Linked DNA regions of Daphnia pulex. The protein of the gene in region 1 binds, or shares a complex with, the protein of each later gene. Links are inferred from orthologs where the notes say so. Each region holds a gene or a part of one and is shown on either strand. Other genes may lie near its edges.

Region 1 (4,453 bases):
CAGAGTTTCTGAGAGGAGCGATAATTAGAACTCGAGGACGGACTAATCCTTGATCTCTATATTCTATTTCATCGGTCGCAACGCCATTTTCTTTGGCCTTTTTCAATTTGGCGTTGTGAAGAAGAACTTTGTCTCTCGATTTCATTACATGATTCAACGAGTGAAGGCAGTAAACTGTTCTAATCTCGTCATTGTTTAAATGGTTCATTTCAGGATAATAAACGTCGCGGTATTCATTTGCGAGAGTGAAAAGCTCATGCTGTAATGGGGAGAGCAGTTCTTCAGCCGTTTGTTTGTTGTCCGAGAGTGGCCTCGTATCAAGGTTGGAACATAATTGCAATTTAACACCGTATTCACTCAAGGGGATTCCAGTTTTCAATACAGGTAGACTACCAGGAATGACATAACTTTCTATTGTTTCACCTAGTAATGTAGGCTTTGGTTGACTTGTGTTTTTTTCAGGTTTGGTTGGCAGGTGAACCACCATTCTTCCAAGAACTTTCCACTTCAGTTCTTGAGTCTCATAAGGCTTGGGTGATGTCAGGATTTCTAAAAGGTTTTCATTTATTTCCCTGTCGAAATGAAGGTGGAAGGGATCCGTAGATAATGTTTCTTCTTCTTCATCACCAGAATGTTCTTCTTCCTCTGATTCAACTTCAAGATCTTCATGTATACTATTTTCCTCGTCAATTTCTTCAGCAACACCAACTGAACTACCACTTTCCTCTTCTCCTACTTCCTCATCGTCTTGAGCTGAATCTTCTTCTTCACTGCCAATGTCATCTTCATTAGATTGGTCATTGATATCTTCAGCTTCCTCTTCATCTGACTGTTCTTCATCAGATGTCAAAACTTGCTGTGCTCTACTACTGGATTTAAACATCGACAGCAGCTGTGTGTAAGGTTTGACTTCTTCTTCTGATTCACTGCTAGATGATTCTTCTTCGATAATAGGCACAGCCTCTTTTTCTTGTTGAAGCTTTTGTCTTTTACTTTCAGAAGTGTCATCTTTTTTTCCATCTCTATCTTGATTAAATTTCCTTTTGTTTTTAAAGTTACCTCCACCACGAGTCGATTTGTTACCACGGGAACCGTGGTTTTTGTAATTGCCACGTTTAGGCCCTCCTCGTCGTCCACGTCCCATTTTAAGAACAAAATAACGTTCGAATTTAATTTATCTGAAATCAAAACTCAAACTCAAATGCACGTGTCAAAATGAAAACTTTGATTGCAGACGTCCAAAGTTGCAAGAACAACACAGTTGATTAATTACAATTTAATAGTGTGCTGCCAAAAATGTATCAAAAATATATTTATTTAAATATATTTATTTATTTTATTCATATTTTTTATTTTATAAATTAAATTAAATGATTCCTTTAAAGTTGAAAATATAAATTGCCAACATGGCAACCAAAAATCACCAACCAAAATGGCGGGCGTCTGCTATCAGGGAATTCTACATCACCAGTGAAAATTAGTTTATTTACCGGAAAAGTTGACAGGTAGCAATCCTGCTTATATATAGACTGATTCACTGTTTAATAAAGCCTTCGAATGTAAAATTATCGGTGCCGTCACGATGGAAGACCGTTGTTTAAACGGTGGAGCCGACATGTTTGAATAATCAAAGTTTTGGTTATTATTGTTTGTGTTTTTGGATCGTTTGTTGTTTACCGATGGCTGGGCAAACGGATCTGAACAGTGGTAGTGTAAGTGGAAACAGCAGCCGGGACGATGTGCGAACTCATTTCACAACCAGAGAGGGAGTATATAAGTTGATAACATTAGCCGAATACTCCAGGGCAAATCGGCTGTCTGGTTACACTGCCATCCAAAGCCAGCAAGGAGCTGCGCTCGGTCAAGGTTCAAACCCTCCAGTTAGGGTTACTTTTGTGTCTCTACCATCTGATCCATCAGGTTTTTGTGACCGCATATGTTTCAACTATGGAAGGGAACTCTACTTCTACACCTACAAGGGAACCAAGAAACCAGCAGACTTGTCCAAGCCTGTTGATAAAAGGATTTACAAAGGAACCAGCCCCACTTGCCATGATATCAATAAATTAACAATCAGCAGTGAAAGTGTTATGCTTCTAGTTGGTTTCACTGGCGGACAAATCCAATTAGTAGATCCAATAAGGAAAGAAATAGGAAAACTTTACAATGAAGAGGTTTCTTGAGATTTTCTGTTTTCTTTATAAATTTATGGAATTTCAATAACATTATTTATTTTTTCCTTCAGAGAATAATTGAAAAGACGAAAGTAACATGTATCAAGTGGCTGCCAGGTTCCCCCAATTTGTTCCTAGTTTCTCATGTTTCGGGACAGATGTATCTGTACAGTGAAGATGTGACGTGTGGTGGACCAGCACCTCCGACCTATCAACTTTTTAAGCAGGGGGCCGGTTTTTCGGTCTGGACTTGTAAAGCCAAAAGCACTCGGAATCCCATTTACAGGTTATTATTCATCATTTCATTTTTAATCATTAATAAAATCAGGTTAAAGACTCCTCCCATCTAACCCCATATTTGGTTGTTAGGTGGGTGATTGGAAACGGCGCCATCAACGACTTTGCCTTCTCACCTTGCTCGAAATACTTGGCGGTTGTGTCGCAGGATGGGTGTCTGCGCGTTCTCAATTATGATGCCATGGAATTGATCGGACTGGCAACATCCTTTTTCGGCGGCTTGCTCTGCGTCTGCTGGTCACCCGACGGGCAGCTGGTAGTGGCCGGCGGCGAGGATGATTTGGTGACGGTTTGGTCTTTCCAACAAAAGAGAATCGTGGCCCGAGGACAGGGCCATCGATCCTGGATCACGGTGGTGGCGTTCGACCCTTTCACGACCCTGTATTCATCTCAATCCTCGTCTTCCAAGTCGTTGTCGAAAGAAGGAGTCGATACTTCGGTCACGTCGAACGGGACGGGCGGAATCGACGGCGAGGCGGAAACGAAATCCTCTAGCGACATTGCCACCTGTTACCGTCTAGGATCTATAGCCATGGACACTCAGCTGTGTCTTTGGGAGTTGACGGACGACGTCCTGAAACAGCCTTACGGTTCCCGGAGCCGAGCTTCAATGGTCTCAGGACCAGGATCGCCACCTTCTAGTCTGAAATTCACTGGCCAGACGCCCATTTCCGGCGATCGGAGTAGTAGCAGCAGCAGCAACAACGTTGTCACCATCACCCCGGTCAACAACTTGACCGTTTCTCCAGCACCCAGTAGTGCGACTGCCACGCCTGTCAACGCCGCAGGATCTCTCACTCAGCGGCTGGCGAATATGACATTTTCCGATAGAAAGTCGGGCCAGCAACAGGAGGCAGCAGCAACCGACTCGAAATCCCACCGAAAGAATTTCAGCCTTGGCAGTGGCCGGAATTCCACTTCGGATCGGTCGGGTAACGCGGCCAATTCGTTGGGTTTGAAATCCGTTTCTTCAGTCTCGTCCACTTCCTCCTCTGCGGGTACCACCACCACAGCGAACCCGTCGCTAGTGACGGGCTGTGCTGATCCGCTCCGGTTGATCGGCACGCAAGCCTGCCCTCGACTGGACGAGATCCCCATGCTGGAGCCGCTCGTTTGTAAGAAAGTCTCCCACGAGCGGCTGACGGCGCTCATCTTCCGTGAGGACTGCCTCATCACCGCCTGCCAAGATGGCATCGTCTGTACCTGGGCTCGGCCAATTGGCCCGTCTCCACACCACACTTCCACCAGCACACCCACCAATGAAGGCACCATGGTCTGAGATGATGATGAGAAAAAATTATCCATTCGTTACGTTCATCTCCCGTTCCTTTTTGTTTTTCCGCAATTAGCGACCGACGACAATTATCGTGTAGCCCTGTCAAGATTCTTCTTCATTAACCCCAATTCCAAACGAGCCATCTTGACCTACTCTTTTTCGCCCTCCAGTGAACAACCAAGTTTTGTTGTTTCTTCTTGTCTATCATCATCAGTTCATTTTTAGGTTTCTCTTTCTTTCTTTAACTGTGTCGTTAAACCCCAAACGGCCCTCAATTTTTCCCTCCCCTGGTGGTGGTTGGTGACGATATAACAACTTAGGGGCCCCGGATATGATTCTAACGGCATTTTGCAGATTCCTAATCTCACCACCTATCGTGCATTCTCCTTTCTTATCTTTCTCCTCCTTTTTTCTTCGATTACCTACAGGGTATAAGATGCTGTCACGTGACCTAGTGCTCCTGGCAAACCGATGATGATGACCAGTTGTTATAACTATTACGAAAGAAAAAATGTTATTTCTCTCTCTTTAAAACAATCTTTCCCTTCAAATTGCATCTATACAGACGAAATTATGTTTCTCTCTCTCGTTTTCTATTTTTCTCCCTTCTAAATTTCTTAATGCCGAGTGTGGTGTCGATTCATTTCACATCCAGAAACGAATCGAAAATGTTTTTGTTTCATTTTGTGTTGTTGATCGAGCGATA
Region 2 (4,379 bases), on another chromosome or scaffold:
GAGTTTTTTTTGTTACTCTAGTCGACATTCGCGATTTAGATTTGTTAACAAGGCGACTAACTTCTTGCTTCTTTGCAGGACTTTCTAAAAATGAGGGAATTTCTTCAGATTCTTGTTCTTGTTGATCTTCTAACACCTTTTTGAAGGTGGTAGTCGACATTCGCATTTTAGATTTGTTATCAAGGCGACTTACTTCTTGCTTCTTTTCAGGACTTTCTAAAGATGAGAGAATTTCTTCAGAATCTTGTTCTTGTCCATCTTCTAACACCTTTTTGAAGGTGGTAGTCGACATTCGCATTTTAGATTTGTTAGGAAGGCGACTAACTTCTTGCTTCTTTCCAGGACTTTCTAAAGATGAGGGGATTTCTTCAGAATCTTGTTCTTGTTGATCTTTTTTCCCATCAAGGGTTTCTTGAAACATTGATGTAGATGTATGTTTCTTAGATTTCAAAGGTCTTCGAGAGAGTAATTTATCTGGACTTCCTAAATCAGAAGGAATATTTGATTCACCCAGGTCATCAGAGGTATTGACCACCTGTGACTGCTGACCGAGCTGCTGGCTTTGGAATGCTTTGGAATAAGCAGAAATTGACATCCGTTTCTTGTTTTTTTTTGTTGGTATTGGTCGAACATCTAAACTCGGACTTCCTAAGTTTGACAGAATCTCAGAGTTATCAAAGACGGAATCATCCTGAAAGCTGTGAGTCCGTGTCTCATCAACACTCTTCTTTTTTGAGACATTTCCTTGAGATAGTACTTCATCATTAAGTTTCCTTTTCTGAACCCTCTGACTACTTTGAGAACTTACTACAGGTGTGACAACTTCTTCATTTTGTGGAACAAGTTTCTGAAATAAAAAAAACCATTTATTATACATGTTGGAGCAAAGAATTCAACAAATTACCTTATTAGGAGGTTCAAAAATTTCGTCTAATAGATCAGGCGAATCAACTGGTGTGGCAATATCAAAGAACTTGTCAATCGCACGTAGTGGTGTCTTAGTCTCAATCGATTTGTTCATCTTCTCATCTTTCGCCATTTTATTTGAACTATTACTTGAATGTTACTTGAATGTGAAAACCTTTTATCGACATTACCGCCACAAAGCACAAAATCGAATTGTGGGAAATTGGAGGGAATAGGCTACAAAATAACAACTTCTGAACTGCAAAGGCCAGTCAACTGCAATTGATAGACTGATAGACTGACTGTCAGCTGGTATACTCTGGCGAGTGGTAGTCCTAACTATTTTAGCTCAAAATGAAAATCTTTGATATGAATAAATTTTATTTTTCCGGAATGCTTTATTTCGATATATTTATATTCGATAAACTAAATGTATTCAATGTTAAGAAATGGCACTGATACATATTTCTTAATTAGTAAACTAGCGGTGGCGCTGTATAACAAGAAAGAAATGAAAAAAATAATCCCGCTAAAAATGAATACAAACTTTAAGTTTTGGGCTTAGTTTAGCGATATGTTTGTATTTACTGCTGGAGGCTAGATCTAAACGGCTATTTAATTAGTTTACTTTATAGACCAATAGCTAAATTTTAGAACTTATCTGGCATGGCATAATTAAAAAAAAACGGAGGTATTCCGACAGACACCGAGTACCGAGTTAACAAATAACAATGGCCTCCACCAAACTTAAAAGTAAAATCTGGCACTGCTGTAGTATTTTGAGCGATTGCGACTATCGTGTTTATTTTCATCGATACTCGAGATTAGTGAAAACTTCATCTAGAAAACTTCTCAATTTACACAACAAAAAATGGTAAAAATTATATTATAGCTTTAAATAATCCCTGATGCAAACATATTTTTAATTAAGGGAGCTAACGCGTCTCAGCTTGAAAAAGAAATCGGATCTGAACAATTTCCGACGAATGAACACTATTTCGGACTTGTAAATGTAAGTTTGACTTATAACACATAAAATGTGTCGATGAAAATAGCTTAAACTATGTTTGAATTTAAAATCTAGTTTGGGAATACTTGTTATTCAAATTCTGTCCTTCAAGCTCTATATTTCTGCAAACCTTTTCGTGAAAAAGTGTTGGAATATAAAATGAAGAACAAGAGATCCAAAGAAACATTGTTGACATGTCTAGCTGATCTCTTTCATAACATTACTACCCAGAAGAAAAAGGTTGGGACAATAGCTCCCAAAAAGTTTATTGCTAGGCTGAAGAAAGAAAAAGGCAACTTATTCATCAATAGTTTTTTGGGAGCTTTGGGAACTAATATTTAACTTAACGTATTTAGAAGAATTTGATAACTATATGCAACAAGATGCCCATGAATTTCTAAATTTCTTGATCAATCATATCAGCGAAATCATAACAGGTTGGTAGAGTAGGAGTAGATAGAGTTGCATGTTTGGAAAAAGGTTTAATGCTTAATTTAAAACAACAGCTGAACGACACCAAACAAACAATTCAGCGACACCGACAACTAATGGAAAGGTTCAGAATTCTAAAGATCCCTGTAACGGATCCGCGTCTCTGAAATTTGATGGCAGTAACGGTTCGATGACGTCCACTGGAAACCATGAATCAACGTGGGTTCATGAAATTTTTCAAGGAATCCTCACCAGTGAAACTCGCTGCTTAAACTGCGAAACTGTACGTATTGAACATTTTTTTTTTTAATTATCATTGTGGGTGGGCTACATCTGCTTACGTGGTTCAGCTTTCATTTTGTTTTTAATGATACAATTTTTTATCAAGTTATTAGAAGTCATGCAATTCTTTCAAAGAAGCTCTAGAAATCAAGAAATGAGTCATGGGAAAACGATCTTTTTTTTTTAAATCTCCTTAAACACTTTCTTCACAGGTCAGCAACAAGGAAGAAGATTTTTTTGATCTGCAGGTTGACGTTGACCAAAATACTAGTATTACCCATTGTTTAAGAACATTTTCGTCCACTGAAACCCTTTGTACTGACAACAAATTCAAGTGTGATGTTTGCAGTTCTTATCAAGTGAGTTCATTTAAGTTTGCACTTCCAACACTTTAATATACCTAGTTTTTTTTCTCGCTTCTACAGGAAGCTCAGAAATGCATGCGAGTGAAGAAACTTCCTTTGATCCTTGCACTGCATCTCAAGCGGTTCAAGTACGTCGAACAGTACAATCGTCACATAAAAGTTTCACATCGAGTGGTGTTTCCACTTGAGCTGCGGCTATTTAACACTGTACATAATTTATTTATAGCCAAATATTTAAATTTAAATTAATTTCGATTTCTTTTCATTAAATAACAGTCTGAAGAATGCCCTGACAGATTGTATGACTTGGTAGCAGTAGTCGTCCATTGCGGAAGCGGGCCCAACCGTGGTCATTATATATCAATTGTCAAAAGTCACGACTTTTGGCTGTTATTTGACGATGATATAGTTGACGTAATTCTGATTTTATTTTTGCTAAAATATTCGTTTTTTATCTATTTGTTTGGTTCCATTCCATAGAAAATTGATCCGTCTGCATTGGAAGATTTCTATGGTCTAACGTCAGATGTACAAAAAGCCTCAGAAACTGGCTACATCCTTTTTTACCAATCTCGAGACACATCCTGAAAATGAACAATGTATGGATATGAAGAGTTCTTGTTATCAACCAACTCCAAGAGTACCAAGACGCGCGTAATACATCAGGAGAAGGAATAGTAATAAGAAATTAAGAATGAACAATTTAAGGTTGTTGGATAGAAACTTTTCAGTGAAAAGTGTTCTCCTTGTAAATGAAAAATATCCTAGAGGTTTGTTAATAGTGATATTTCATTTGTTCAGTAATAAAATTATAAACTCTTGTTTTTCCAGCAAAACTTGATTGCTATAATTTTAAAATTGAGTTAAAAGAACAATGTCTAAAACAAGTAGACAATTAGACAAATGTAAGTTTTGTTTAACTTACTAATTAAATCTTTCCAGAATGTTCCGCGAGAATTTAAGTGAATAAATTGTCTTCTTGATTGACGGTTGTAAAATGCACGGTTTCTACAGGGGGAGGATTGTAAAATGTAAAGGGAAGTACGGAAGTTCAAAATTCAAATTAATGTTAAGCCTGTTCATTGTTTGAGAAATGTTGTCGCGCTCTCAGGCGATTAAGTAGCAAATATATATTTTTTATTATTATCATCCTTTAAATTTAAATTGGAGTACCTAATGAAGTTAAGTTGGTGACTTGTCCAATAAAACATACATAAACGAGTTTATATCTACGTACTTGTTTTATTCGAACTAGTGCATCCCTAATAGAAAAGTAGAAGAGCAGTACTCTAAAAAAAACGTCGGCTGCTGCACTGCATTTCAATCAGGTGACCCATACTGTATCAGTCCCGCTTTTAGTCCCGGAAATAATGGCCGCTACCCGC

What was found.
Region 2: WD repeat-containing protein 20-like (region 1) and ubiquitin carboxyl-terminal hydrolase 46-like share a complex: the UniProt entries of both Drosophila melanogaster proteins name them as parts of the usp12-46 deubiquitylase complex. The link is inferred for Daphnia pulex from reciprocal best matches to the Drosophila melanogaster genes CG6420 and Usp12-46.

The regions. Positions count from the first base shown.
Region 1 is NC_060023.1:10,107,226-10,111,678, reverse strand, and holds the start of WD repeat-containing protein 20-like, read left to right. Parts: upstream 1-1,366; 5' UTR 1,367-1,679; coding exon 1,680-2,174; intron 2,175-2,245; coding exon 2,246-2,460; intron 2,461-2,543; coding exon 2,544-3,750; 3' UTR 3,751-4,453. Other genes in the region: U3 small nucleolar RNA-associated protein 25 homolog, read right to left, coding at 1-1,144. UniProt on the Drosophila melanogaster protein: Regulatory component of the Usp12-46 deubiquitylase complex.
Region 2 is NC_060020.1:4,003,145-4,007,523, forward strand, and holds ubiquitin carboxyl-terminal hydrolase 46-like, read left to right. Parts: upstream 1-1,636; 5' UTR 1,637-1,777; coding exon 1,778-1,780; intron 1,781-1,837; coding exon 1,838-1,918; intron 1,919-1,990; coding exon 1,991-2,207; intron 2,208-2,271; coding exon 2,272-2,352; intron 2,353-2,421; coding exon 2,422-2,630; intron 2,631-2,841; coding exon 2,842-2,988; intron 2,989-3,054; coding exon 3,055-3,201; intron 3,202-3,270; coding exon 3,271-3,408; intron 3,409-3,474; coding exon 3,475-3,582; 3' UTR 3,583-3,815; downstream 3,816-4,379. Other genes in the region: serine/arginine repetitive matrix protein 2-like, read right to left, coding at 1-847, 905-1,039; probable isocitrate dehydrogenase [NAD] subunit alpha, mitochondrial, read left to right, coding at 4,365-4,379. UniProt on the Drosophila melanogaster protein: Catalytic component of the Usp12-46 deubiquitylase complex.